Linked DNA regions of Macaca mulatta. The protein of the gene in region 1 purifies or fractionates together with the protein of each later gene. This does not show direct contact. Links are inferred from orthologs where the notes say so. Each region holds a gene or a part of one and is shown in the gene's direction. Other genes may lie near its edges. The genes, in order: EGFR, AP2A2, CDC37, DNAJA3, CD44, ATXN10 and GAB2.

The links.
Region 2: the proteins of EGFR (region 1) and AP2A2 purify together in Homo sapiens (affinity purification with mass spectrometry; 6 studies listed by BioGRID and IntAct, with this or other methods). This does not show direct contact. The link is inferred for Macaca mulatta from reciprocal best matches to the Homo sapiens genes EGFR and AP2A2.
Region 3: the proteins of EGFR (region 1) and CDC37 purify together in Homo sapiens (affinity purification with mass spectrometry; 6 studies listed by BioGRID and IntAct, with this or other methods). This does not show direct contact. The link is inferred for Macaca mulatta from reciprocal best matches to the Homo sapiens genes EGFR and CDC37.
Region 4: the proteins of EGFR (region 1) and DNAJA3 purify together in Homo sapiens (affinity purification with mass spectrometry; 4 studies listed by BioGRID and IntAct, with this or other methods). This does not show direct contact. The link is inferred for Macaca mulatta from reciprocal best matches to the Homo sapiens genes EGFR and DNAJA3.
Region 5: the proteins of EGFR (region 1) and CD44 purify together in Homo sapiens (affinity purification with western blotting; 6 studies listed by BioGRID, with this or other methods). This does not show direct contact. The link is inferred for Macaca mulatta from reciprocal best matches to the Homo sapiens genes EGFR and CD44.
Region 6: the proteins of EGFR (region 1) and ATXN10 purify together in Homo sapiens (affinity purification with mass spectrometry; 3 studies listed by BioGRID and IntAct, with this or other methods). This does not show direct contact. The link is inferred for Macaca mulatta from reciprocal best matches to the Homo sapiens genes EGFR and ATXN10.
Region 7: the proteins of EGFR (region 1) and GAB2 purify together in Homo sapiens (co-immunoprecipitation; 3 studies listed by IntAct). This does not show direct contact. The link is inferred for Macaca mulatta from reciprocal best matches to the Homo sapiens genes EGFR and GAB2.

What each region holds. Positions count from the first base shown.
Region 1 is NC_133408.1:73,278,915-73,282,414, reverse strand, and holds part of EGFR (epidermal growth factor receptor), read left to right. Parts: intron 1-136; coding exon 137-498; 3' UTR 499-3,500. UniProt on the Homo sapiens protein: Receptor tyrosine kinase binding ligands of the EGF family and activating several signaling cascades to convert extracellular cues into appropriate cellular responses.
Region 2 is NC_133419.1:821,238-825,183, forward strand, and holds the start of AP2A2 (AP-2 complex subunit alpha-2), read left to right. Parts: upstream 1-1,146; 5' UTR 1,147-1,334; coding exon 1,335-1,401; intron 1,402-3,946. UniProt on the Homo sapiens protein: Component of the adaptor protein complex 2 (AP-2). Adaptor protein complexes function in protein transport via transport vesicles in different membrane traffic pathways.
Region 3 is NC_133424.1:11,129,779-11,133,829, reverse strand, and holds the start of CDC37 (hsp90 co-chaperone Cdc37), read left to right. Parts: upstream 1-1,251; 5' UTR 1,252-1,315; coding exon 1,316-1,417; intron 1,418-2,599; exon of another isoform or gene 2,600-2,822; intron 2,823-4,051. UniProt on the Homo sapiens protein: Co-chaperone that binds to numerous kinases and promotes their interaction with the Hsp90 complex, resulting in stabilization and promotion of their activity. Inhibits HSP90AA1 ATPase activity.
Region 4 is NC_133425.1:5,674,691-5,678,625, forward strand, and holds the start of DNAJA3 (dnaJ homolog subfamily A member 3, mitochondrial), read left to right. Parts: upstream 1-1,135; 5' UTR 1,136-1,152; coding exon 1,153-1,363; intron 1,364-2,076; exon of another isoform or gene 2,077-2,091; coding exon of another isoform or gene 2,092-2,213; intron 2,214-3,935. UniProt on the Homo sapiens protein: Modulates apoptotic signal transduction or effector structures within the mitochondrial matrix. Affect cytochrome C release from the mitochondria and caspase 3 activation, but not caspase 8 activation.
Region 5 is NC_133419.1:30,082,684-30,086,183, reverse strand, and holds part of CD44 (CD44 antigen), read left to right. Parts: intron 1-1,500; coding exon 1,501-1,629; intron 1,630-3,341; coding exon 3,342-3,473; intron 3,474-3,500. UniProt on the Homo sapiens protein: Cell-surface receptor that plays a role in cell-cell interactions, cell adhesion and migration, helping them to sense and respond to changes in the tissue microenvironment.
Region 6 is NC_133415.1:5,818,441-5,822,435, reverse strand, and holds the start of ATXN10 (ataxin-10), read left to right. Parts: upstream 1-1,195; 5' UTR 1,196-1,211; intron 1,212-3,995. UniProt on the Homo sapiens protein: May play a role in the regulation of cytokinesis. May play a role in signaling by stimulating protein glycosylation. Induces neuritogenesis by activating the Ras-MAP kinase pathway and is necessary for the survival of cerebellar neurons.
Region 7 is NC_133419.1:78,843,459-78,847,403, reverse strand, and holds the start of GAB2 (GRB2-associated-binding protein 2), read left to right. Parts: upstream 1-1,145; 5' UTR 1,146-1,258; coding exon 1,259-1,336; intron 1,337-3,945. UniProt on the Homo sapiens protein: Adapter protein which acts downstream of several membrane receptors including cytokine, antigen, hormone, cell matrix and growth factor receptors to regulate multiple signaling pathways.

The sequences.
Region 1 (3,500 bases):
AGAGGGTCCTCCCAAGGCTCCTGCTCCCTGTCATAAATCTCCCTGTTGAAGACATTCATGGGGTTCAGAACCCGGGGATCTTGCATGGGATGGTGCTTTGCTGATTACTTCACCTCTGATTTCTTTCCACTTTCAGAATACATAAACCAGTCTGTTCCCAAAAGGCCCGCTGGCTCTGTGCAGAATCCTGTCTATCACAATCAGCCTCTGAACCCTGCGCCCAGCAGAGACCCACACTACCAGGACCCCCACAGCACCGCAGTGGGCAACCCCGAGTATCTCAACACTGTCCAGCCCACCTGTGTCAACAGCACATTCGACAGCCCTGCTCATTGGGCCCAGAAAGGCAGCCACCAAATTAGCCTGGACAACCCTGACTACCAGCAGGACTTCTTTCCCAAGGAAGCCAAGCCAAATGGCATCTTTAAGGGCTCCACAGCTGAAAATGCAGAATACCTAAGGGTCGCACCACAAAGCAGTGAATTTATTGGAGCATGACCACGGAGGACAGCATGAGCCCTTAAAATCCAGACTCTGTCAATACCCAGGACCAAGCCACAGCGGGTCCTCCATCCCAACAGCCATGCCCACATTAGCTCTTAGACCCACAGACTGGTTTCTCAACGTTTACACCGATCAGCCAGGAAGTACTTCCACCTCGGGCGCATTTTGGGAAGTTGCAGGTGCATTCCTTTGTCTTCAAACTGTGAAGCATTTACAGAAACGCATCCAGCAAGAATATTGTCCCTTTGAGCAGAAGTTTATCCTTCAAGGAAGTATATTTGAAAAAAAAAAAAGTATATGTCAGGATTTTTATTGATTGGGGATCTTGGAGTTTTTCATTGTCACTATTCATTTTTACTTCCATGGGCTCTTCCAACAAAGAAGAAGCTTGCTGGTAGCACTTGCCACCCTGAGTTCATCCAGGCCCAACTGTGAGCAAGGAGCACAGGCCACAAGTCTTCCAGTGGACGCTTGATTCCAGTGGTTGTGCTTCAAGGCTTCCACTGCAAAACACTAAAGATCCAAGAAGCCCTTCATGGCCCCAGCAGGCCGGATCGGTACTGTATCAAGTCATGGCAGGTACAATAGGATAAGCCACTCTGTCCCTTCCTGGGCAAAAAAGAAATGGAGGGGATAGAATTCTTCCTTAGACTTACTTTTGTAAAAATGTCCCCACGGTACTTACTCCCCACTGGTTGACTAGTGGTTTCCAGTCGTGAGCGTTAGACTGACTTGTTTGTCTTCCATTCCATTGTTTTGAAACTCAGTATGCTGCCCCTGTCTTGCTGTCATGGAATCAGCAAGAGAGGATGACACATCAAATAATAACTCGGATTCCAGCCCACATTGGATTCATCGGCATTCAGACCAATAGCCCACAGCTGAGAATGTGGAATACCTAAGGATAGCACCGCTTTTGTTCTCGCAAAAACATATCTCCTGATTTGAGGCTCAGATGAAATGCATCAGGTCCTTTGGGGCATAGAGCAGGAGACCACAAAAATGAAGCTGCTCTGAAATCTCCTTTAGCCATCACCCCAACCCCCCAAAATTAGTTTGGGTTCCTCATGGAAGATAATTTTCTCCTTTTACTTCACTTTAAAAGCTATTTACTCAGAGTATATGTTCCCTCCAGGTCAGCTGCCCCCAGACCCCATCCTTACCCTTTGTCAAACAAAAAGTGTCTCCGCCCTGAGTCAGCTATTCAAGCACTTACAGCTCTGGCCACAACGGGACATTTTACAGGTGCGAATGAGAGTGGCATTATGAGTAATGTGGAATTCAGGTAGTAAATATGAAACTAGGGTTTGAAATTGATAATGCTTTCACAACATTTGCAGATGTTTTAGAAGAAAAAAAGTTCCTTGCTAAAATAATTTCTCTACAATTGGAAGACTCAGCTAGTTAGGATCCCACCTTTTTTCTTAATCTGTGTGTGCCCTGTAACCTGACTGGTTAACAGCAGCCCTTTGTAAACAGTGTTTTAAACTCCCCTAGTCAATATCTATCCCATCCAATTTATCAAGGAAGAAATGGTTCAGAAAATATTTTCAGCCTACAGTTATGTTCAGTCACACACACATACAAAATATTCCTTTTGCTTTTAAAGTATTTTTTGACTCCCAGATCAGTCAGGGCCCCTACAGCTTTGTTAAGAAAGTATTTGATTTTTGTCTCAATGAAAATAAAATTATATTCATTTCCACTCTATTATGCTCTCAAATACCCCTAAGCACCTATACTAACGTGGTATGGGTATGAAAGGTACAAAGATAAATAAAACATAGTCCCTGATTCTGAGAAATTTACAATTTAGCAAAGGAAATGGACTCAAAGATGCTAACCTTAAAACAACCTGACAAATGCTAGACAGGACCCGTCAGCCAGGCACTGTGAGAGCACAGAGCAGGAAGGTTGGGTCCTGCCTGAGGAGACCTGGAAGGTTCATCAGGGAGGCCTCACAGGAGGATGACCAGGTCTCAGCCACAGGGGAGGTGGAAAGTGCAGGTGCAGCAGGGGCACCCTGATCAAGGAAACAGCTGCCAGACGCCTTCACTGCTGAAGTCCGCATAAGGCTGAGGTCAGTCGCCCGAGCAACCTGCTCCCTCTAAGCCAGGGGATGAGCTTGGCTCATCCCGCAAGATCCCTAAAAGTTGCATCCCCCACGGGGATTTTGAGCTATCATCTCTGCACATGCTTAGTGAGAAGACTACGCAACATTTCTAAGAATCTGAGATTTTGTATCGTCAGTAAACCACTTCCATTATTCATTCACCTCAGGACAAACAGAAATATTTCAGTCAGAACTGGGAAACAGGACTCACATTCTGCTGTCACGTATGTGTCAAGAAGCAGATGATTGATGAGGCAGCTCAGTTGTAAGCGAGTCACATTGTAGCATTAAATTCTAGTATTTTTGTAGTTTGAAACGCTAACATAATAAAAGAGCAACAGCTATTCTAGCTTTCTTCTCCTTCATATTTTAATTATCCACCATAAAGTTTAGTTGCTAAATGTATTAATTTTAAGATTGTACTTCCCAAAATAGTTCTCACTTCATCTGTCCAGGGAGGCACAGTTCTGTCTGGTACAAGCCGCAAAGCCATTGGCCTCTCCACGGATCTGGCGACCATGGTGGGCAGGTCGGGAGAGGAGCTGCCCAAAGTCCCATGATTTTCACCTAACAGCCCTGTTCGTCAGTTCTCAAAGCTTGGACTCCATCCCTGAAGGTCTTCCTGATTGATAGCCTGGCCTTAATACCCTTCAGGGAGCCTGTCGGCTGTTTCTTCCTCAGGTTCCTGGAAGACCTTACCCCATGACCCCAGCTTCAGATGTGGCCTTTGGAAACAGAGGTCAAAGGAAAGTGAGGAGCTGAGAGCTCATATTCACAGGTGCCCCCAGCGTTCGTGCGTCTTCTTGCATCATCTCTAAGGAGCTGCTCTAATTGCTCCATGCCTGTCACCCCATGAGGGATCAAAGAAGGGATGAGTCTTCTA
Region 2 (3,946 bases), on another chromosome or scaffold:
TCCTAGCCGGGCTCCACCAGGGCTAAGCTCTCATCTGGGGTTGTGCAAGTGAGCCAGGGTGGGGCAAAGTCCTGGCTGGTGGGTCTGGGCCAGTTCCAGGTACAGGGTCCAGATCCCCCCACTCCCGGAGGAGGGAACTTCCTCTTCAAAGCCATCTGGCTCTGGGAAGGACAGCGAGGCAGGGCCATGTGCTTCCGCACTCCCTGGGGTCTCTTCCTGGCCTAGGCCCAGAGCTGTGCAGCCTGGCCCAGAAGGTCCTCCCTCCCGCTGCGTCCACGGGGGGTCCCTAGGCCTCCAGCTCGCAGCGGTGCAGAGGGCCGGGGAGCAGAGGGGGCCCTGGCAACAGTGGCAAAAAGTCCTGGCGCTGAGGGACTGGATTCCACAGTGAGCTGCAGCCCCGGCCGCCATCACTGGGGTGGGGTGGGCGGTTGTTTCTCTGCAGGCCCAGGTGATGTGGTGGGGGCGCCTGGACTGCCACACAGACCCTGGGTTAGGTTGGGCACGGGGCCCGCCTGGCCCCCAGCTCGGGGACCGCAAGAGATGTGGCCCTGGCCGCTCAGGGCGGCAGAAGGGGCGGCTCAGTCCCAGTCTCAGGATACTGGGCTGGGGGAGGGTTTCCTCCCCAAAGGCTGTCCCGAGGCTGTGACCCCTTCGCCCAGAGCCCCGGCTTCCTCCTGGCGCCGCCCTCCCGGCCCTGGCCCACCCCGGACAAACAAGGCCCTGGCAGCGAAGCCCCTCCACTGCCCAGCGCTCACAGGTTGTTTATTCCAAGTAGGAAAACGGAGACCTGCTCGGGGCAATCTAGGGGGGCCGACGCCCAGGGCGAGGCTGCAGCGTGCGCCTGCGTGGTCGCCTCTTTTGCAGTGACCACCAACAATGAAGACGGCGGCTGTCCTGCTCACGCAAGTTCCCGCCCGGATCCACGCCCTTCCCGTGGGGGACGCGGGCGGCAGCGCCAACCCGGCGCGGCATCGGGACGCGAACCCGCGGCTCCAGCGGCTCCGTCCGTGGCGTCCGCCTGCATGGGGCGCCCCCGCGCCTGCCTCGACCGGCTCGTCCCCGCGCCGCGGACGCGCGCGCGCTGTCTCACGCGACACCCGCCCCGGCCGCCGTCCGTCGCAGCTCGCGTGCGTGCGCGTGTGTGCTAGTGCGGGCGTCGTGCGTGCGCGCGCGCGGCGGCCCAGAAAGCGGCGCTGGGAGCCTGAGGCGGCGGTGGTTAGTCGGCTCCCCGGCGGCTTGTCCGCGGCGCTGAAGGCGACCGTGCTCCCCGCTTCCCGCTCCCAGCGCTTCTCCGCCCAGGCCCGCCAGCGGAGGCCGCTCCCGAGCGCCGGAAGATGCCAGCCGTGTCCAAGGGGGACGGGATGCGGGGCCTGGCCGTCTTCATCTCCGATATCCGCAACTGTGAGTGGCGGGGGCGGCGCGGGGCGCGGGGCGCGGGGCCGGGGCTGTGGCCGGGGCCGCAGGCGGCTACGGGGTCTGGGAGCGGAGGTCCGGGGTGGGGGCTCGAGGCGGGGGTGCAGGCTGCGATGCGGGCGGGGCCCGGGGCCTGAGGGTGCGGGCGGCGCTCGGGGTCTTGGGGTACCGGGTCTGGGAGTGCGCGCCAGGGTGCGGAGTGGGGGTCCAGAGTTTGGGGGTGCGGACTGCGCTCAGGGTCTTGGGGTATCGGGTCTGGAGGTGCGGGCCAGGATGCAGAGCGGGGCCCTGGGTCTGGGGTGCGGGGTAGGGGGTCCAGGGTTTAGGGGTGCAGGGTCTGGGGGTTTAGGGTACGGTCCTTCATTCACATCTTCACTCCCGTTTGCTGGTCCGCGCGGGGGGCTGCGGCACCGCCAAGGGGGTTCCGGGCCAAGACGCCCCTCCCCAGTATGATGTCACCTCGGTCTTTCTAGTACTGGAGTGTTTAACCCAGCATTTTCCAAAACGGCGTGGATTTTAGCTCTGGGAGCAGAAATCTGGAAATCGGTGTCTTCCTAGGAAACAGCTTTGTGAGCTGGGTTCTGGCGGCTTATTATCCCCTGATTAGATCTCGCCCACGACGATTGAAATGACTCATTCCCGGAGGGAATCTGGACACGAGCAGGCAGTCAGCAGTCGGGGTGTGGGATGGCCTGGCTGCCTGCTGCTCCAATCACAGACCTCGTTCTCAACCCCATGCGTGTCCCCTCGGGGTGGAAAAAATCCACACCAAACCGTGAAACAAGCCAGGAAGGCTTGGCCTGTTAGGAGGATGTGCAGGGTGGCGGGGTGGGTGCACCGGTCCACAAATTAATTTGACTTTGGTGTGCAGAAACTTCTCTTGAAACAAAGCCGATTTCCTGTCTGGTGTGTTCATTTTTTTCCTTGTTATCCAGCAAATAGTTGACTTCATGGTTTTTTGTTTTTGTTTTTTTTGAGACAGGGTCTTGCTCTGGCGCCCAGGCTGGAGCGCAGTAGTGCCATCACGGCCCACCCAGCCTCCCAGCTCAAGTGATCCTACCACCTCAGCCTCCAGAGTCGCTGGGACTACAAGCGTGCACCACCACCATTTTCGTGTTTTTTGTAGAGATGAGGGTCTCATTGTGTTGCCCAGGCTGGTCTCGAACTCCTGAGCTCAAGTGATCCACCTACCTCGGGCCTCCCAAAGTGCTGGGTTTACTGGCGTGAGCCACTGCACCCTCATAATTTTTAGTGTATATTTTGAGGAATTTTTGTGATCTTCCCTTTGAATTCTCATCTCCTTAGACTGGGTGGAGGATCAGGAGGATGGTCATTCTCCCACACTCTGTGTAAGGATAGAAGTCCATCTAACCCTTCCCCTACTCTTTTTTTTTTTTTTTTTTTTTTTGAGACAGAGTCTGGCTCTGCCGCCCAGGCTGGAGTGCAATGGCCGGATCTCAGCTCACTGCAAGCTCCGCCTCCCGGGTTCACGCCATTCTCCTGCCTCAGCCTCCCGAGTAGCTGGAACTACAGGCGCCCGCCACCTCGCCCGGCTAATGTTTTGTATTTTTAGTAGAGACGGGGTTTCACCGTGTTAGCCAGGATGGTCTCGATCTCCTGACCTCGTGATCCACCTGTCTCGGCCTCCCAAAGTGCTGGGATTACAGGCTTGAGCCACCGCGCCCGGCCAGCATAGAGCTGGGTGCAGTGGCTCACACCTGTAGTCCCAGCACTTTGGGAGACCAAGGCAGGTGGATCTTTTGAGCCCAGAAGTTTGAGACCAGCCTGGGCAATGTGGTGAGACCCTGTCTCTACAAAAACCATGAAAATTAGCCGGGCGTGTTGGTGTACACACCTATAGTCCCAGCTACTTGGGAGGCTGAGACAAGATCACTTGAGCTCAGGAGGTCAAGGCTGCAGTGAGCTGAGATCGTGCCACCGTACTCCAGCCTGGGTGACAGAGTGAGACCTTTGTCAAAAAAAAAAAAAAAAAAAAAGGCTTAGAAACACAGCCTCAGATCAGTACTTTTACGAGTAGCATTTTTTCTCTTGCTTTGTCACGTAATGAGACTAACATGCATTTTGTAAAACTAAGTGTGTGTATTATTTGTTAAGGGGACTCCTCGGGACAAAGGCTGAGCACTGTTAAGTTAGCTGCGATGTCTGTCCTTTCATTTTTGAGGAAAATTGTGTTAGGCAGGACGATGAGATTGGAAGGCATTTCCTTAGACAACAAGTCACCCGCTTGTTAGATATATTGTCTGTGCGAGGGCCTGCGTTTGACAGGATGGCGCCTACCACAGGGAGCGCAGTACAGCCGTCCTCCCTTATTTGTGGTTTCACCTTCTGAGGTTTTAGTTACCTCTGGTCACCTGTGATCTGAAAATAGGTGAGCACAGTACAATAAGATATTTAAAGACACCACATTCATGTAACTTTTATTACAGGATATGATTACAGTTCTCTTTTATTATTGGCTGCTGCTAATCTCTTATTGTGCCTAATCTGTAAGTTAAACTTTTTCCTAGGTATG
Region 3 (4,051 bases), on another chromosome or scaffold:
GAGGGGGAGGAGATGGGGACTCCTCCGCCCCTGGCCGCCCACTCGCGGGTTTGAATGAAGCGCGAGGGGGAGGGGCGGCAGCGGGAGGGCGTTTTTGTCCGATGGCCCCTCCCCCTCCATGCACTGGGGAATTCCCCCCATCTGGAGACTTTCGCTCGCTCTCTCCGGGCACCGCCTGCGACGTCGGCTCCAGGGGAGACTGGGAAGAGGCGCCCCTCACCCGAGTGGCTGGAGCTCCTCCTATCCAGCCTGACCCCCGATGGAGCACCCTTTAATCTAAAATAATCCTGGCCCGAGACTGCAACGCGGCCTATTATCCTGGTATAAAAGCGCGGATTGGGATGCGTGGAAGTGTGAGGCCAGGGCCCTGCATGCTTAGAGTAATGGAGTCCTTAGAGCCCCGGCGGAGGAAGGGTACCCCCAGACAAACGGGGAGGGACTATGCGTGACCCCAGACTGTGACGAAAAGGAAAGCCCCCTTCCACCCCTCCAAGATTCCCCCACCAAGCGCGGGACCAGGAATACGCGCCGTAGGCTAGACTCTAGCGACACCCAGCGGTCACGCGGGGTGGGGCGCCGAGACCCGTTATGGGGGGTCCGGGTGATTCCAAAGTGTGTGTGTGTGTGTGTGTGTGTGTGTGTATGTGCGCGCGCGCGAGTCCTTGCTGCTAATGGCCGGAGCTGGAGGACGAGGAGAAGGCTCCCAAGGCAGAGCCACAATCTCCCCTCTATGTTTAACCCCTCAAGGGGAGGGCCATACCACCCTCGATTTAGACACCCCCAGGGCAGGTCCAGTCCTCCTCGGGCTGAGAAAGTCCCAGGAGTCGTCAGGCGCCCCTCTCCAGAGCAGGCTTAGGTCCCCGTTTACGAAGGGCAGGGGGAGGGCCTTCCCGCCGTGTCCGTACCCCTTGCAGACGTCACTGCGGCGTAGCTGAGGGGACAGTCCTCTTAGTCTCATCAACCGTCCTCTCCCTGCCACCCCAAACGCCCACCGTGGAGAGGCGGGAGATGAGGGGGGCTAGGAGTTGAAGTGCCCACTCGTATGCCCCCAGGAGACCTAGCGGAGCCCCTGCGCCCGATAAGGTGGAGTCTCTGCGGGAACTCCAGGGGACTGGAACGCTTGCGCAAGGCCCTTTAAGGCAGAATGGGTAGCCAGTGCCGCTGCCGCGGTTACTAGGGATGTGACGTCAGGCATGGGCGGGGTTTCCCCCGCACTCGGGCGGAAGCGGAAGGGGCGGGGCTCCGCGCACCAAGTCTCCAGCGCCGCCGCCGTCGCCGCCAACCGAGCCGTAGCGGGCTGGGCCGCCAAGGCAAGATGGTGGACTACAGCGTGTGGGACCACATTGAGGTGTCTGATGATGAAGACGAGACGCACCCCAACATCGACACGGCCAGCCTCTTCCGCTGGCGGCATCAGGTAAGGCGCGCGCGCCCATCCCTTTCCCCACTCCCGGACCCCGCTCCAGAGTTGTGGTCCCCGATACTGCCTAGGGACCCCACTGTTCACACCTAGGATTCTCACCCCCTCAGTCTGGACTTTCAGGAGCCTCGATTCAACTCCAGGACCCCAGTACCACTGGTACCCTGAGTCCTTGCTCGGGATCTCCCCCCAACCCCCTGCTCCGATTTTTGCGTGGGATTCCCTATTCACCCCCTAGAACTTCTTCAGTCTGGACTCCCTTAGACGAGTCTCCCTAATTCTGTTCGGAGTTAACATTTACACCCAGAACTCTGCCTCAAAGTTTGGTCCCCAAATTCTTCTAGATGATCCCTCATCCTATTCGGGTATCCACTCCCTATCTGGGATCTCACGTCGCCCTCCCCCACCTCCGTAGTCTGGACCCCCAATACTTTGGTCTGTCCTGGGATCTACTTTCCGGGATCTTGATCCGGGGTTCCCATTCAGATCCGGAGTCGCCACTCCTTTTCTAAACGGTACAAGGAACTCTGTGCTACTCTGATATTCCTGTCCCTGCCCACACCCGGGACCCCCTTCCTAGAGTGTAGAGCCGTCCCCCTTCAGGATCCTTAGTCTCACCGAGGACTTCGGTTGTGGAACCTGGTTCCCCTCTGGATCTAACTACCAGCTCCACCCCGACAGAGCCTCACATTCCAGCCTCTCCTTTGGCCTCGGGTAGACCCATTTCCCATTAGACCAGGAAATCCTGCCCACGTGGCTTCCGGCCCAGCCAGAGCCCCTGCCCCTACTTGGTATTGCAGACCCTGTCACCACCCACCTCCCAGACTGGCTTCCTGTATGAGCCTTGGCCAGCATTGGAAACTCCCCTAACTCAAGCCCAGGACCCCAAACCCACCCCACCTTGTATCCCCAACCTGATCGCTACTCTGTGACCCAAATTGTCCCTGCTCTTTTCCAGGGACTCCTGGTCTGATTCTAAATTCACTACCCCTTCTTCTATCGGACCACAACAGAACCCCCAAATCCAGACCCCAGAATCCCAAGTCTGAGTGATCCATGTCCTACCACCCCCTCAGTGCTCACAAGCCAATGGGGTGACTAAGACTTAAAGGTTTAACCTCCTGCTACCCCAAATCACATATCAGTGTCTGTTGTACTCTTTTTTTTTTTGAGATGGAGTTTCCTTCTTGTCGCCCAGGCTGGAGTTCAGTGGCACAATCTTGGCTCACTGCAACCTCTGCTTCCCGGGTTCAAGCAATTCTCCTGCCTCAGCCTCCTGAATAGCTGGGATTACAGGCATGCGGCACCACGCCTGGCTAGTTTTGTACCTTTAGTAGAGACGGGGGTTTCTCCATGTTGGTCAGGCTGGTCTCGAACTCCTGACCTCAGGCGATCCACCCACCTCGGCCTCCCAGAGTGCTGGGATTACAGGCGTGAGCCACTGCACCCAGCCATGTTGTACTCTTAAACTAAGGGCATATACCTTTCAGAACCTTCTAGTGAGGATCTCTTACCCCACCCTCTCATAGGACAACTCCCCATCATTTATCCAAGAAACAACTAGAAGTTCCCTTCCCCATCATTTTGGAATACTCCAGAATACGGCATTAGTCTCTTTATCTAGCTCCCAGTCCCACCTCCAGACCTCTTCCTTAAATCCTGAGTCTCCTGGGTAGTGTACCTGCCAAGCAAGCCACTGGAGTGTGGGAAGAAAGTTCTAGCGCTTCTATTTCTTGCCGTGTGTAACATTTTATTATGAAATATTTAAGACTTCCACAAAGCTCCAAAGACTATTCTTGGGAAGACCTATTTCTGTCACATAAAGAGGTTAATCTTTACTACTGTGGAGAATGGTTTGGTCCTGCCGAGTGGGAGGGCCCCCCTCCTGCAGCGTAGTGTACCTGCCACACCCTCCTCCCTCTGGCACGGAGCTTTTCCTGTCCTACCGCTGAGAACCCGGTGGTTGTAGTGGCACGTAAGGGAGGCAGGGGGCTTCAGCGTCTCCAGCACAGGTTCAAGGACAGGCAAGCTTGCGTTCCAATCCTAGTCCTGCCTCTTGCTGCTTCTTTCTTTCTTTGATGTGGCAAGACTCAGGCCTCCCTGATCCCGTATGAAACCTGGGATACTATGACCCCACCTCCCTGAGACTTTTGTAAGAATAAATTAAGACTGGGCAGGAAAACTTGGGGCAGGTTTGGAAGGAAGCATTGTGGAGGGGAAGGAGAGATCGCTGTGGTTCTGAGCACAGGCCTGACTAGGTTCAAATCTCAGCTCTGTGTATCACTCACATGCTGCGTGAGTGCCAGGGAATTGTTTGATTGCTCTGTGCCTGAGCACCTGAGAATCTGAATGATGTCCACCCCATAGGGTTGTTGTAAGGGTTACCTTATTCGTTTAATATTTGTAATCCTTTTGGGGCAGTAGCTATTACCGTCATCATCATTTAAATAATTTTTGTGAATGGTTAAAAAAAACTTCCACAGCCACATGTGGGGACACATGCCTATAGTCCTAGCTACTCAGGAGGCTGAGGCAGAAGGATCATTTGAGCCCAGAAGTTCAAGTCCAGCCTGAGCAACATAGCAAGACCTTGTCTGTCTTTCTTTTTTCTTTTTTTTAATTTTGATTTGT
Region 4 (3,935 bases), on another chromosome or scaffold:
CCCTGACATCCCAAACTTCCTCTCCCCCATTTTAGAAATGGAATGACTCCTTCACTTTGTATGCCTGTAACAGTGCTTATTCCTATGATAGCATTTAACATTATTAGTTGGTAAGGAGCCTCTCTCGGGTCATTTGTTTGCTCCTCCCGAGCAAAGATGGTGTATCATGCATCGTTGTATCCCCGATATTCTAGAACATGCATGACACACAGTAGGCGCTCACAAGTTTTGCTAATTTAGTTTTTGGGCAGCACGGCTCCCATTCTGAACCAGCAAGTTCACTGCAGGTTTGGAAAAGGCTAACATGCTTAAGGAGAGAGCTAAGGTTGCCGCGGTGGCTCTCGCCTGTAACCCCAGCACTTTGGGAGGCCGAGGTGGGTGGATCACGAGGTCAGGAGTTCCAAGACCAGCCTGGCCAAGATGGTGAAACCCCCGTCTATACTAAAAATACAAAAAAATTAGCCGGGTGTGGTGGCACGCGCCTGTAATCCCAGCTACTCGGGAGACTGAGGCAGAGAACTGCTTGAACCCGGGAGGCGGAGGTTGCATTGAGTCGAGATCGCGCCACTGCACTTCAGCCGCGACAGAGCGAGACTGTGCCCAAAGGAAAAAAAAAAAAAAGGAGAGAACTGAGTCTTGTTAGAGAAGGCGGGTGGGGAATCAGCCTAAGAGAAAGTGAGACTCCGGCCAGGCTTTGGGGGTGGCGGCGAAGATTTACTAGAAGCGCGCGGAGACCACGTGAGTAAAGCTCACGCAATTCGCCGTAAGTCTCAGGGTCAGCAAGAGGGAACCATGCACTGCATAGTGGGAGCGGCGCGACGGAGGGCCGCTTTGCATGCCGGGACTTGTAGTCTCGCCCTTAGCCAGAACCCTCGGACCAGTTACGTTCGGCTACATTCAACCAGGTTCTTACACCGATAACGTACACTCACTGATTGTCTAGCACAGAATAACGAGGTTCTGCAGGGCAAGTCTACCGAACAACACTCTTCAGAGCAAACCCCGTTTTGGCGATTGCTCCCCGGAAGGCGCGTTGGGTGCGGCTGCGCGTGCCCCCACGCATGCGCCACGCATGCGCCTCTAACGCGCGCCCGCCGTTCCCGCGAGGCCCCCTAGAGCCGGGCGGCGCAGGCGCAGTGTCCCCCGGCCAAGATGGCGGCGCGGTGCTCCACACGCTGGTTGCTGGTGGCTGTGGGGACCCCGCGGCTGCCGGCTGCACTGGGGAGAGGGGCTCGGCCACCCAGGGAGGGCGTGGTGGGGGCATGGCTGAGCCGCAAGCTGAGCGTCCCCGCCTTTGCGTCTTCCCTGACCTCTCGCGGCCCCAGAGCGCTGCTGACATTGAGACCTGGTGTCAGCCTCACAGGTGAGGGCAGGTTCCAATTCCCGAGTGGCGGTTTCAGGGCCTAGAAAGGAGTGAGTCTCCTCGCTGTGACTGCGGCTGCGGGAGTAGTGGGGTGGAGGGTGTCTTCCGACCCGGATGCAAAATTGCCGGAGACACAGGCAGGCAGGAGGCGGGGAGGCCTAAGAGGCTACTCAGCCGTCAGGGAAGGGAGAGAAGCGTGGAGCCTCCGGCGGCGGTGATGAAACGCCCCGTAGACCGTGAACCTTCACCTCTCTGTCAACATTTCTGGGGGCCGCTGCTCCCTCGTCCGCTTTCTTTCCCATCTCTCCACCTTCTGGCCCGTAGCGGAAGGGAAGAGCTAACTGCCATTCGGAGAGGCCTAGGTACTTTGTTACAAAAACCCTGCAAGATGCCTGTCGTCATCCCCATTTTAGAGAATGGGAAACTGAGATTCAACAGAGGAATCGACCAGCCCAAGGTCATGAAGTTAGACGGGAAGAGTTGTCTCAAACCCATAGCTGTCGTGTCTTAGCGTATGCTCTTTCTACCACGTGATGCTAATTCAAGGGCACAGTTAACAATCTTTAGAAGTCCTTAGTTGGTGATTGTAATAATAACACAGTCAGACATTTATTGAGCACTTACTGTTGGCCAGGCATCGTTCCCCCCTTACATCACATTTCCACATGAGAGGCACTGTTATTCCATTTTATAAAGATACCGAGGCTTAGATGTTAAACCACTTACAAATGTCACAAAGAGGTGGAGCCTTGATTTCATTGCCTGAGGTGATACTGAATTATACGTTAAGCTTTGAAGTGCTTAGCCATGTTTTCTTTTCTTTCTTTCTTTTTTTTTTTTTTTTTTTTTTGTGAGAGTCTTGCTCTGTTGCCCAGGCTGGAGTGCAGTGGCTGGATCTCAACTGACTGCAACCTCTGCCTCCTGGGTTCAAGAGATTCTCCTGCCTCATGCCTCCCAAGTAGCTGGGATTACAGGCACATGTCACCACGCCTGGCTAATTTTTGTTGTCTTTTATAGAGATGGTTTCTACATGTTGGCCAGGCTGGTCTCAAACTCCTGACCTCAGGTGATCTGCTCCCCCTTGGCTTCCCAAAGTGCTGGGTTTACAGGCGTGAACCACCGTGCCCTGCTTAACCATGTTTTCTTATGCTGTGTGTTTTGTGCTGTATATTGTATGTACCTGAATTGTGCTAGTTTCGTGTCCTCCAGAATTTGTGCAGATGATATTTAAGCTATGTATAAATGTATAAAGATTAATAAAGGGCCCTGAGAATTTATACCAAGTAACTTCCTATTGCAATCCAGTTTGTAATACTTACATAGTAGACAGTTGTTAAAGTATCAGTAATTGTGGTTACTTCATGCAATGTAAAGAAAAGAGACTGGGGGCCGGGCGCGGTGGCTCACGCCTGTAATCCCAGCACTTTGGGAGGCCGAGATGGGCGGATCACGAGGTCAGGAGATCGAGACCATCCTGGCTAACACGGTGAAACCCCGTCTCTACTAAAAAAATACAAAAAACTAGCCGGGCGCGGTGGCGGGCGCCTGTAGTCCCAGCTACTCGGGAGGCTGAGGCAGGAGAATGGCGTGAACCCTGGAGGTGGAGCTTGCAGTGAGCTGAGATCCGGCCACTACACTCCAGCCTGGGCGACAGAGTGAGACTCCGTCTCAAAAAAAAAAAAGAAAAGAGACTGGGCTTCAGGGGTGAACTTTCCCAGTGTGTGTGAGTGGGGTGTATTATTTAATCCCTTTGAGCTTCTCTTTGAAAATTCATTCATTCACAGGTATTAATTGAGGCCAGGTGTATGCCAGCCACTGTTCTGGGTGCTGAGGACATGGCAGAGAACAAAGAGATTGGATGTGTGTTTGGTTGAGAGAATGATTATTTATTTATTTATTTAATTATTGTTTACGACAGGGCCTCTTGTTGCCCAGACTGGAGTGCAGTGGCACAATCACAACTCAGTGCAACCTCGACCTTCCAGGTTCAATCCATCCTCCATCCTCAGCCTCCTAAGTAGCTGGGACTATAGGCATGCACCACCACACCCAGCTAGTTTTCTGTAGATGGGGTTTCACCATGTTACCCAGGCTGGGCTCAAGTGATTTGCTTGTTTCAGCCTCCCAAAGTGCTGGGATTACAGGCATCAGCCACTGCACCTGGCCAAGAGAATGAATGAACTTTTTTTTTTTTTTTTTTTTTTTGAGACGGAGTCTCGCTGTGTCACCCAGGCTGGAGTGCAGTGGCACTGTCTCAGCTCACTGCAAGCTCCGCCTCCTGGGTTCACGCCATTTTCCTGGCTCAGCCTCCCGAATAGCTGGGACTACAGGTGCCCGCCACCATGCCTGACTAATTTTTTGTATTTTTAGTAGAGATGGGGTTTCACTGTGTTGGCCAGGATGGTCTCAATTTCCTGACCCGGTGATCTGCCCACCTCAGCCTCCCAAAGTGCTGGGATTACAGGCATGAGCCACCGTGCCCAGCCTTATTTTTATTTTTATTTTATTTTTATTTTTATTTTATTTTATTTATTTATTTTTTTGAGACGGAGTCTCGCTCTGTCGCCCAGGC
Region 5 (3,500 bases), on another chromosome or scaffold:
CTATTGTCAAAAGGTGGTGCTTGGGGTGCATTAGGACTAGAGGGTAGGTGAAAATTCAGACAGAATGTAACTTGACAAAGAGAAGACAGTGAAAACTGTAACAATTCTCTTATGAATATTTGCGAAACTCAAAGGGATCTGATTGGTGACCTCTGGTCTTTATCAAATTAACATCACAACTTCTAGAAGAAAGTCAACCTTCATCTTTTACAATAGAAATCATATGTTTTGTGAACTCATTCCTATTTAGGCTGAAAACAATAAAGAGTTATGGGTACTTTAAAAACTCATTAAAGTAGTGATAGAAGGAGTATAGAGTCCTTCTATGCAGTCACACACATACACTTCCTTATTTCTTTTATTTAAACTTTGAGTAACATGGCAGTCTATGTTTGGGTCAATATTCCTTTTTATGTAATTACATTCAGTGGTTTTTCTAACTTCATTATTGGTTGGGAATTAGTGATTTAGTCAGTGGTAGGTAAAACTTAAGATTCTGGCTTTTTTCCCCTCCCCCTGGATAGCCAGTTAACCCAATAATGGCTTGGCCAATGTAAGGGTAAAATGAGGACTGTTCTATTTTTTAAATGTCATTGCCGTCACCAAATCACACATATCATTTTCTAAGATAATGAAATACAACCATTTTACAAGTTACAAAAAAAATACTCTGGCTTGGCAAGTTAATAGGCTCTCATTTTCTTGATAAAACAAAATTGCTTTAAGTTGCTATAGTTAAAAATGTTGGTGGCTTTCTGACTTTTCCTGAAGGCACCTTGATGGAATTTTATTCTGTTGATTTTGTCCTTTTTAAAATAATGGTTGAAATTTTAAGCCTGTCACACACTATTATTTATATAATGCCTCAAACTGGCTTGGATAGTTTTTGTCAACTGAATTAATTTTGTTAAAAAGTGATTTTAGCAATTTTAGGCGCCATATGAACATTGCCACATAATGTGTTAGTGAAATAGCATTCAAGCCATCCCAACACCTTTCCTGCTGGGCAAATCCACTGCTGGTGCATTTCCAGTGTGTGCAATTATGGGTTACATGACCACCATTTGAGACGGTCTCCTAATGCGCTGATCTTGTCAGTTGTTATACAGTATTTTCCTTTCATCAGAATGACTGGAGCGAAGAGGTTATTCTTTGAATGGTTTTCTAAGACAGGGTATGTGACGCCATACACTACAGTAAAATAAAAATAATGATAACTCATAGAACTCTGAGAATTCATCAGCTATGGTCTGCTTAGTCCTATGGTTTTGAACAAATCAAAACCTCTTTGGACCACAATGTTCCCATCTGAAAAATTAAATGTTTGGATCATTTTATTTCTAATATCCCTTTCAGAATATCAGTGGCCTGTTTCCTTGCTGCTTTTCTTTTCTACCTTCTGTTCCCATGTGTATCTGCCCTTAAAGTAGAAAGATACGTTGACAGCTATTGGCAAGGAAAATAGAAAATTATGTCTCCCAACTGATATTCTTCTCACAGTCCAGGCAATTCCTAGTAGTACAACTGAAGAAACAGCTACCCAGAAGGAACAGTGGTTTGGCAACAGATGGCATGAGGGGTATCTCCAAACACCCAGAGAAGACTCCCATTCGACAACAGGGACAGCTGGTAATGGGTGGTTTAACAAGTAAATTTGGATGGCAACTTCCTTTTGGGTTAAATGGTAGACATTGAGGACACTGAACAAAAGGACATTGGAGGAATTGTCACAAGATGTTAGGTTACTTAATAAATTATGCTGCAGTTAACACAGAGCCAAACCTTAAAGGCTCATAACAAGTCACCTGAACAGGAATGGATACAAGCCAGTTACGAATAAGAACAGGAAACACAGAGAACATGCCCTTGAACATGTCTCTTTCACACCGAGTTCTGGGCATTATCTAGTGAGATTGTAGCGGAGGCCCTGATAAAATATCCCCTTTTGTCGTACAAAGGAATCTACTCTAGAATATGGGTCCAGACTTTACAATGTGATTCTGCAAAGTCTGACTTGTGAGAAAGCATTTTGCTAGAACTCCAGTGTTTGAAGAAATAGAGCCAGACATTATGTGAAAAATGACACCTGTCTGATGTCATTTGGCCTTTTGGCCATGCCTGTTTGGTAATTTGTCCTTGAGTATAAACAAGCCATCTTCTCTATTCTTGAACTGTGAGATTGTGGAAATTGGAATCAAGTCTTATCATCATCTCTAAGTGATACCAGATGACTTGGCTCTGCAAGCTCCCATGCAGGATATTTTGTCTGTGTGACATAAGTATTGAAATGTGTCCTGCCTTATCAAGAATGTGAATTCCATATTCTCACTTGGTATCAGTGAGAAATATTCCCATATTTCTATTTGCAATATAGAAGATAATACGTCATGTACTTCTGGGGCATGGCAAGTTCTGAATGAATTCCTGGCAGAGCAATGGATTCTGTGACTGTCTATGTGGTGTGGTTGTTGCTAAGAGGATGCTGTTGCAATCTTTTCTACCTATACTTCCTCATTGGCTCAGAATGAAGCAAGGCATGTGCTGCTTTCTTATATGTCATTTATGCATATTCTCACTTGGTATCAGTGAGAAATATTCCCATATTTCTATTTACAATATAGAAGATAATGCGTCATGTACTTCTGGGGCATGGCAAGGTCTGAATGAATTCCTGGCAGAGCAATGGATTCTGTGACTGTCTATGTGGTGTGGTTGTTGCTAAGAGGATGCTGTTGCAATCTTTTCTACCTATACTTCTTCATTGGCTCAGAATGAAGCAAGGCATGTGCTGCTTTCTTATATGTCATTTATGCCATAAATCCCGTTGTCAGGTAATGCTTCTAACGGATTCCATTCATGCTTTTGAGATAAATGGCACTGACTTTCATATTGATCACATGGAAAGCTGTTACCTGATTCCTTTCCTGAGATCACTTCCAGCCTAATGTGCATTCAGCTGGAATATGGTTGTCTCAGAATAACATAATGCACTTGGGCTTTTACACTTCTGCCATTAGGGTACGGTGGCAGCATGGCACAGGTCAAGAACTACTCCTTCATCTTCCTATGATGTCTGTAACTCACCCTCTCTGCACTGCAGGAGTCGTTAATGCTTTTGTGTCCTCCAGTTCACATGCTGATTGCTAAGAAGAAAATGAGCATGAGTGAACCCAAACCTGCTGAAACATTTTGCGTTTATGCAACTTCCTTGCCCTCTATACAAGGAAGATGGTTTCATTGTCTTGTCTAGAGAATAAAGTCTTTTTAAACAATAAAATCAGTGTATTCCTGACCAAGCGTCCATTAACACTTTGACAATTGCTCCAACTGCATGGTCTCAGCAGCCTCAGCTCTTACCAGCCATCCAATGCAAGGAAGGACAACACCAAGCCCAGAGGACAGTTCCTGGACTGATTTCTTTGACTCAATCTCACATCCCATGGGACGAGGTCATCAAGCAGGAAGAAGGATGGGTAATAGCCTCTGAGATTTTTATATAT
Region 6 (3,995 bases), on another chromosome or scaffold:
GAGACAGGGTTTTGCCATGTTGGCCAGGCTGGTCTTGAACTCTTGGCCTCAAGTGATCTGCCCACCTTGGCCTCCCAAAGTGTTGGGATTACAGGCATGAGCCATCGTGTCCAGCCCTTTTTTTTTTATAATTTCTATTTCTCTGCTGAGATTGATCATTTCTCTCTTGAGGTTTTTATTCACTGAAGTCATGTTTTGTTTTACCTCATTTAATTTACTTATAATCATTGCTTTAAAATCTGTCAGTTCTCACATCTAGTTCATCTCATGGATGGATTTGATTTTCTTTTCTCTTGAGAATGTTCTGCAATTTCATATTTGTTTTTCAAGTAACTTTTGGATTGTATTTTGATATTATTAATAGTAAGCTGTGGGGATTCTGGATTCTGTTGTTTTCCTCTGTGGAGTGTTGTTTCCTTTGTTTTCATAGACAATTTTCTTATGTGGGCTTGGGCTGAAAACTCTGTTTCTTCAGGGGTAGTTCAGATCTTTAGTATTTAGTTGAGCTACTTTGGGTCTATACCACATGATATGGTTTATTTAGTGGGCAGTTAGCTATATGGATAGAATTAATTTGGGGATCCCCTCTATCTTGGTCCATTTTCTGCTGCTTATAACAGAATATCTGAAACTGGGTAATTTCTAAAGAAAAGAAATTTGTTTCTTACAGTTATGGAGGCTGAAAAGTTCAAAATTGAGGGGCTGCATCTGGTGAGAGCCTTCTTGCTGAAGGGGACTCTCTCCAGAGTCCCAAGGCAGTGCAGGACATCACATAGTGAGGGGGCTGAGGGTGCTAGCTCAGGTCTCTCTTCCTCTTCTTATAAAGCCACAGACCCACTGCCACGATAACCAATTAATCCATTATTCTGTGAATAGATTAATCCATTCATGAGAACAGCTCTCATGACCCAATCACCTCTTGAAGGCCCTACCTGTCAATACTGCCACATGGGGGATTAAAATCTCAACATGAGTTTTGGAGAGGAGAAACATCAAACCACAGCACCCTCTCTGGCTCTTTCCCTTTTGGGATTTTTCCCATTCTCTTCAGTGTTCATATTTTCATACATTTACTTTTATGCTTCCCCAGGCCAGAAAGAATGCAGAGTTTTGCACATGTGCCCCCAACCACTGCTGTGCACATCCACGTCCCAGGCTAAAAGCTACAGAGATGTGAACCTACTTGTATAGCTCCGCATCTCCCTTCCTCCAAGTGAGCAGGTACTCCTCATCAGAGTCTGCTTCTGTTCACTCTCAAGCCCTTCAGGTGGTTGTTTCTTTGTAGTATATCTAGGTTTTATGACTATTTACTATGAAGCACATTTGTGTGGGGGGTCACCAAGTAGGGTCTTTGTCCATCTTACCCAGAAGTGGAAGCTTGTCATGACCTGCAGAGCACTTTGAACAGCCCTGGCCTAAACCACTGTCTCTGTCTCAATAATGACCCCATTCAGAATGGCATTTGCAAGTTTCTCTTCCATAGTTTTCTTTTTTTTTTTTTTTTTTTGAGACGGAGCTTGCTCTGTTGCCCAGGCTGGGGTGCAGTGGCTGGATCTCAGCTCACTGCAAGCTCCGCCTCCTGGGTTCACGCCATTCTCCTGCCTCAGCCTCTCGAGTAGCTGGGACTACAGGTGCCTGCCACCTCGCCCGGCTAGTTTTTTGTATTTTTTTAATAGAGACGGGGTTTCACCGTGTTCCCCCAGGATGGTCTCGATCTCCTGACCTCGTGATCCGCCCGTCTTGGCCTCCTAAAGTGCTGGGATTACAGGCTTGAGCCACCGCGCCCGGCCTCTTCCATACTTTTCTACCAGATGCTTATAATTGAGGTTCAATACCAGATAATGTCAAAACTAATAGAGGAATTCCCAGTTCAGGCAGAGGGAGCACAGAGTGCCGATAATATCCAAATATTGCTTGGTACTGATTGACTTGACAAAAGCTCACTTCATAAAAAACAGTTCTGGCTTTTACAGACTGTTCTCAATGGATTTCCCTTCTTCCCTGTCAATGGATTTTCTTTCTTTGCTGGCCTTTGACTTTCCGTGATCTTGGCTGCTGGCAAGTGTAAGGCAGAGGAGGTCCTTAGGCAGGAGATAAACCTGGGCCTGTTCCTACAGAGATGGTCTTTTGAGAAGCCTGGGAGCACAAGCTGGGACAGCAGAAGGCAAAAGTCCCAGGTAGTGTTATGATGGTTTGCAGCAGAGCCATGTCATGAATATTTCAATTTTTTATTTTTAACCCTATGAGACATTGTCGCTTTATGATTGTTTTGTACATTGGATGTTCATTTAGATGAAGCTGATGGTAAATACCATTCTCAGTCTTCTTTATTCCTTTCTGTGTCTCTCATCTTCCATCTGGGATTGTTTCTGTCTCTAATTCACACTCTTTTGTATTTCCTTTAGCATGGATCTGTTGGCAGTTATTTTTATTTTTCAGCACATTGAAGATCGCATTCCACTATTTTGATTTCCAGTGTTTCTGTGGAGAATGCAGCTTACCCAATCCTCACTCCTTTAAAAATAAACTGTCTTTTTATTCCCCTGTGGCTTCTTATCAGATTTTGTCTTTGTCTTTTTCCACAACTTCACTGCATGTGAATACATGGTGTGTCTCTATATAGATTTCTTTCCGTGTATTCTGCTTTCTGTTCATTGAGCTTCTTGAATCTGTGGTTTGGAATCTTTCATCAGTTTTGGCAGATTCTCAGCTATTATCCTATGTATTGCCTCTGTCCTGTTTCTCTCTCCTTTTGAGACTCCAGTTACATGTGTTAGACTTTCTCCACTTACTTTCTCCATCTCTTAGCTCTTCTGTATTTTTTGTATTTTAATTTCTTCATTCTGGATAGTTTCTTTCTAAATCTTCTAGTTCATTTATTCTCTCTTTAGGTTCTCTCTAATCTGTTTTAATCACATCAATTGAGTTGTTACTGTGTTATTTCTCATTTCCGTTCCAGAATTTTTATTTATTATATAAATACACTATTTCAATTTTTATAGTTCAATTTCTTGCTTGGACTTTTGAACTATTTCTTTTTTCTTTTTTGAGATGGAGTCTCACTCTGTTGCCCAGGCTGGAGTGCAGTGGCACAGTCTCAGCTCACTGCAACTTCTCCCTCTCGGGTTCAAGTAATTCTCCTGCCTCAGCCTCCTGAGTAGCTGGGATTACAGGTGCATGCCACCACGCCCAGCTCATTTTTCATATTTTTAGTGGAGACGGGGTTTCACCATGTTGGCCAGGCTGGTCTCGAACTCCCGACCTTGTGATCTGCCCGCCTCGGCCCCCCAAAGTGCTGGGATTACAGGCTGACCCACTGAGCCCGGCCAAATTATTTCTCTGAACATAGTAAATCTGTTGTGTCATTGCCATGTTTCATTCCAATAGCTTAAGTTTTTGTGGATCAGTTTCTGTTGTATGTTGCTTCCGCTGGTTCTTATAATATCTGGTTTCCCTGTAGAGTGAGTTATTTTTGTGTTGTTCACTCTATTTGAGAAGTATTTGTAGAAATGACTTGATGCTTAGGATGGCACATTCTTCCAAAGATGCTTTTCATTTGCATCTTTTGCATTCATGTGCCACCATTCTGGGTCTGTCTTAATCCCAAGTCAGATGTTTTGGTTGCATGGATCAACCAGGTGACAAAGAGGTTTTTGAAATATTTCATTTGGGTTTAAAATACAAGTTTTTCTCATTCAGAGGATAACTTTAAATAACTTAGTGTGACATTATCAGAAGTGAAACTTTTTCTATTTTATGAAGCTTCTTGTATAAGGCAGGGATTACATCTTTTCTCCACATTTGGTAGAACTCATATATAAAGCCAGCTGGTTTGAGGCTATATTTTGGTGCTTCATTTTCTGGAATGTACTTCCACCTTTGTTTGTCTAGTGCTCATATAATTATTTAAGATTCAGCTTACATGGTTTCTCTAGTATTTCTTCATCTCTCCAGCTTCCTAGCTCTTTATACATCTTTTTTTCTGACATTATTTA
Region 7 (3,945 bases), on another chromosome or scaffold:
CCCCCAACCCAATCAAGATCTGTTGGACCAAATGATGTCCAACTGCTTGAAACATCTCAGCTGCACAGAGACAGAAATGAACAAAACAGCTTTAGTCTAAGGTTGTGTGGGGCAGTGCAAGATGCTGCTTCTCCAATTCATCTGTCCACACAGCACGGTTCCCCATTGAATAAACAGGATACTATCCACTTATCAGAGAAGTTAGGGAGGACCTGCCTTTTAGTGCTGCTTGGAGAGACACTGTCAATGAGCGGGGACGTTGGGGAATTTGGACCCCAATTTCTTGTTCTTCTACACTTGACCTTGCCTTCCAATTCACTATGAAATATATTTACTAGGTTTGCTTCTTCCATTCTACAAATCATGCGAGTTTTCTATACTAAACTGTTTTCCTAGAGGCAATGTAGGAGGGACTCAGCTGGACTTTGTTTCCAGGCAATGAGAGGCTCCCAGGTTGATCCCATTAAGGCAATGCCCTCATTTTGAATAGGGGATGACTGGGACCCCTCCTCCCCCACACACCTGAATTGGAAACTTGGCTAGGCTTTGTACAAGCCCTTGCCCTTAGGCAGTCCATAAAATGGGAACAATACTGAAGACAATCCTGTAAGCCAAGAGTGCAAAGGCTCCGGCGCGTAGTAGGTCCGTCTCCTCCTCCCGCCGAGGGGCGCCAGAGTTAAGGAACTTCTTACTGGGAAGGGGTCCCTCCTTTCAGCAGGAACCTGACCCGCAGAATGGATCGGAAACGCGAGCAACCCTCGGATCCCTTCCCCGTCGACGCTCGGTGAAAAATCGATCGACGACGGAGGGCGCGCAGTCCCTTCTCCGCACGCCCGCCAGCGCCAGGGGCGCGGCCGCCTCCCCGGCCTCCGCGCCCGCAGCTTGAGGCCTCAGGAGAAAGCGAGATTCCGGGGCTCGCCGGCGGCGGTGGCTTTCTGTGTCCTGGCGGATCCCCAGCCCCGCGTCCGCGTGCGCGGCGGCCTCGGGGGCGCGGCGGGAGCGGGCGTGGCGAGCGCGCCGGCCTTCCCGCTGCAACTGCCCCCGCGGCGGCCCGGCGGAGAGTGCGGATTGCGCGCGCTCGGGGCGGGGGAGCGGGCGCGCGCGAGGCCGCCGGGCGCGCGCCGCGCCGCCTAGTCCCCGCCGGGCCGCCCGCCCCGCCCCTGGCCTCCCGCGAGCTGCGCACCGCCGGCCGCTGCCCCAGCTGCCCGAGCCCGCGCCCTAGTCCGCGCGACCCAGCGGCGGGCTCCAGGCCGGCAGCATGAGCGGCGGCGGCGGCGACGTGGTGTGCACCGGCTGGCTGAGGAAATCGCCTCCCGAGAAGAAGTTGAGGCGCTATGTGAGTGCGGGCGCGGCCGCCGAGGGGCGGGCGGGCGGGGGGCGCTCCGGGGCCTGCGGAGGGGCGGGGGGCTCCCGGAGGGGCGGCAGGCTGGGGAGCTCGGGCCCGGAGCCGCGGGGGCCGGGGGCGAGGAGCGGCCAGGGTCGTGTGGGGTACCTGCACACCTGTCACAGGTGCGCCGCCGAGGGGCGGGGCGGGGCGGGCGGCAGGTTGAGGCTGCGGCTCCTGCTCCGCCAGGCGGGCGCGGCGTCGGCGCCTCCCCAGGCGGTCTGCCCGTAAACTAAATATAGTGTCGAAGTTTGTATTGATGGCTTCTGGAGACCGAGAGAGTTGACTCTCGGGGCTGGGGCTCCGCGGCGGCCCCTAGCAGCTTCAGCTCACAGGTCCGGGAGAGGGCGGGAAAGGGGGGCGTAGGCTGTGGGCCCGCGCGGACGGCCCCACAAAGGGCGAGCGCCTCACGCCCTCTCCTTCCCTTTCTCCGCCCGCCCCTCCCGGCCGCCGGCCTCACTCCGTCCGCGGCTGCATCACCGGCAGCGTCAGCGGCATGTGCAGCCCTTGTATTAAGTGACTCATTTGTTTGTCCCCCTTCTCTCCCTTTATTCCGTTCGTCTCTCACAGGCGCCTCCCCCGACCCCGGTGTGACACTGCAGTTTGGTCCCCGTGGCTGGCCCGGGTTTGGGACCTGGCAGCTCCCGGTTGTCTGGGGTCGGGAGAGATCGAGGCTCTCGGCGCCCAGGTGTTGCCAACCCACAGTGTTTACTGACATCGCTGGAACAGCCTCTTCCCTCTAGGTGGGGAACTGGCAGTTTGGGGGAGGTGGAACGGCGTGGCGCTGAGCCGTGGAGTTCTGGCTTTTTTTTTTTTTTTTTTTTTTTAACCCCTCTCCCCAGAGGATGCCTTGCCTGGTGAGGTCAAAGTACAAGATGGTGCCAGTTACTGAGATTTTGCCGAAATGGTCCTAGGGTAGTCGCGGGAGTTTGGAAGTGGGGGTAAGGTGGCTGGAAGGTTTCAAGGTCTCTCATCTGCTCCCTCTCCTTTTCCCATGAAATGCCCTTGTTTAACGGGCTGTGGTGCCGGACTCCGGGATCACTCCCACAGCCTGGAAGGGAGCCGTTGCCTCCAGCTGCAGTGCATCAAGGGAGCTCGGAATAGACCCTGCCCTCTGTCAGCTGCACCAGTGGCTGTCCATGGGGGGAGAAGCAGAAGCCTACCAGAATTTCCTGTCTTGGCTCCCCAGATCAGAATCAAGGGACTTCTGGCCTCTGGACTGAGGAAGTGACATTCTGTTTTTCAAAGGAAGTGTTGTTGTTGCGGAGTGCAAGTGTGTGTGTCAATGAAATCAGGCTCTTACGTAGATGTTTGCTAGGAAAAAAAAAATTCTGATTTAGCACATGACTTTTGAAAGTGGACGTGGATTTATAGGAGGGATGAAGCAGTGAATTGTTCATCTCAGTTTGAAAGCTCATTTTTAGGAGTGTCTATGTAGCCAAAGTATAATTATTAAGAAATACACTTTTTTCCTCTTCAGGCTTGTATCAGTTCGTTAGGAAGGTTGAATACTTTAATTAGGATTAAGGAGCAGTGATTTACTATTAACAATTTAATAAATATTTTTAAAACTTTGTCCCAAAGAGCTTCCAAAAATTATCTTTACAAATAGATTTCCATACAAGCTAGTGGAATAGAGTGTCCACAGTAAAAAAAAAAAGAAAAAGTGACCCTTAGTTTTCAAATTTGAACACTACACTAAACCTTGAAACTTGTTTTTGAAACAATTTGCAAACAGTATGACATTGTATCTCCATTTGACTTACCGCTCCTTGAACGCTCACCCAGACTCTCTTTATGACCCATTTCTTGGGTGTTTTTGTTCCCAAACAACTTTAGTTCAAAAAAACCAGGTTTGGAGGCATTTGGGTCAAGCACCTTTTTCACTCATTTGAACGAATCTAGAATCGTGTGATGGCCTTAGCCTCTCTTTCCCATCTTCGATGCACCTTCAGCCCATCAGGTGTCAGACCTTAACAGCTTTCAGTAACAGCTTTTCTTAGGCCAGGATGTGATGTGTTCACTTACATGACTGGAAGCCTCTGCCCTTTCGAAAGTTCAGTTTCCCCCCAGTTGAAACTGCTGATCTGTGTAACCTTAAGCTTCCGGGGAACAGTATTCTTTTACGTCTACTGTTTTTGGGGGTATTAAGAATTTTTGCATCCTGTTGTAAGTTAAAACTCTGCTAGTTTGCTTATTTCAGTAGAGGCCCGAGTTCATCAGAACCAAACTTGGAAAGTATTTCCCAGCCTAATGGCTGTATATTTACCCCAAAGTAGCTGCTGCTTCTGGTATACATCATAGTCATGTTATATTGTACTGAGAAATCCTCTTTATAAGAATGCCACAAGCATATGAGATAAGGGGAAAAAGTAGTTGATGAACTAGGTTATAACTATTTAAAACGATTTTTTAAAAAACTGATTTAATTCGAAGGCTGGGCGCAGTGGTTTATGCCTGTAATCCCAGCACTTTGGGAGGCTGAGGCCGGCAGATCACTGGAGGTCAGAAATTCGAGACCAGCCTGGCCAAAACCCCGTCTCTACCATAAATACAAAAAT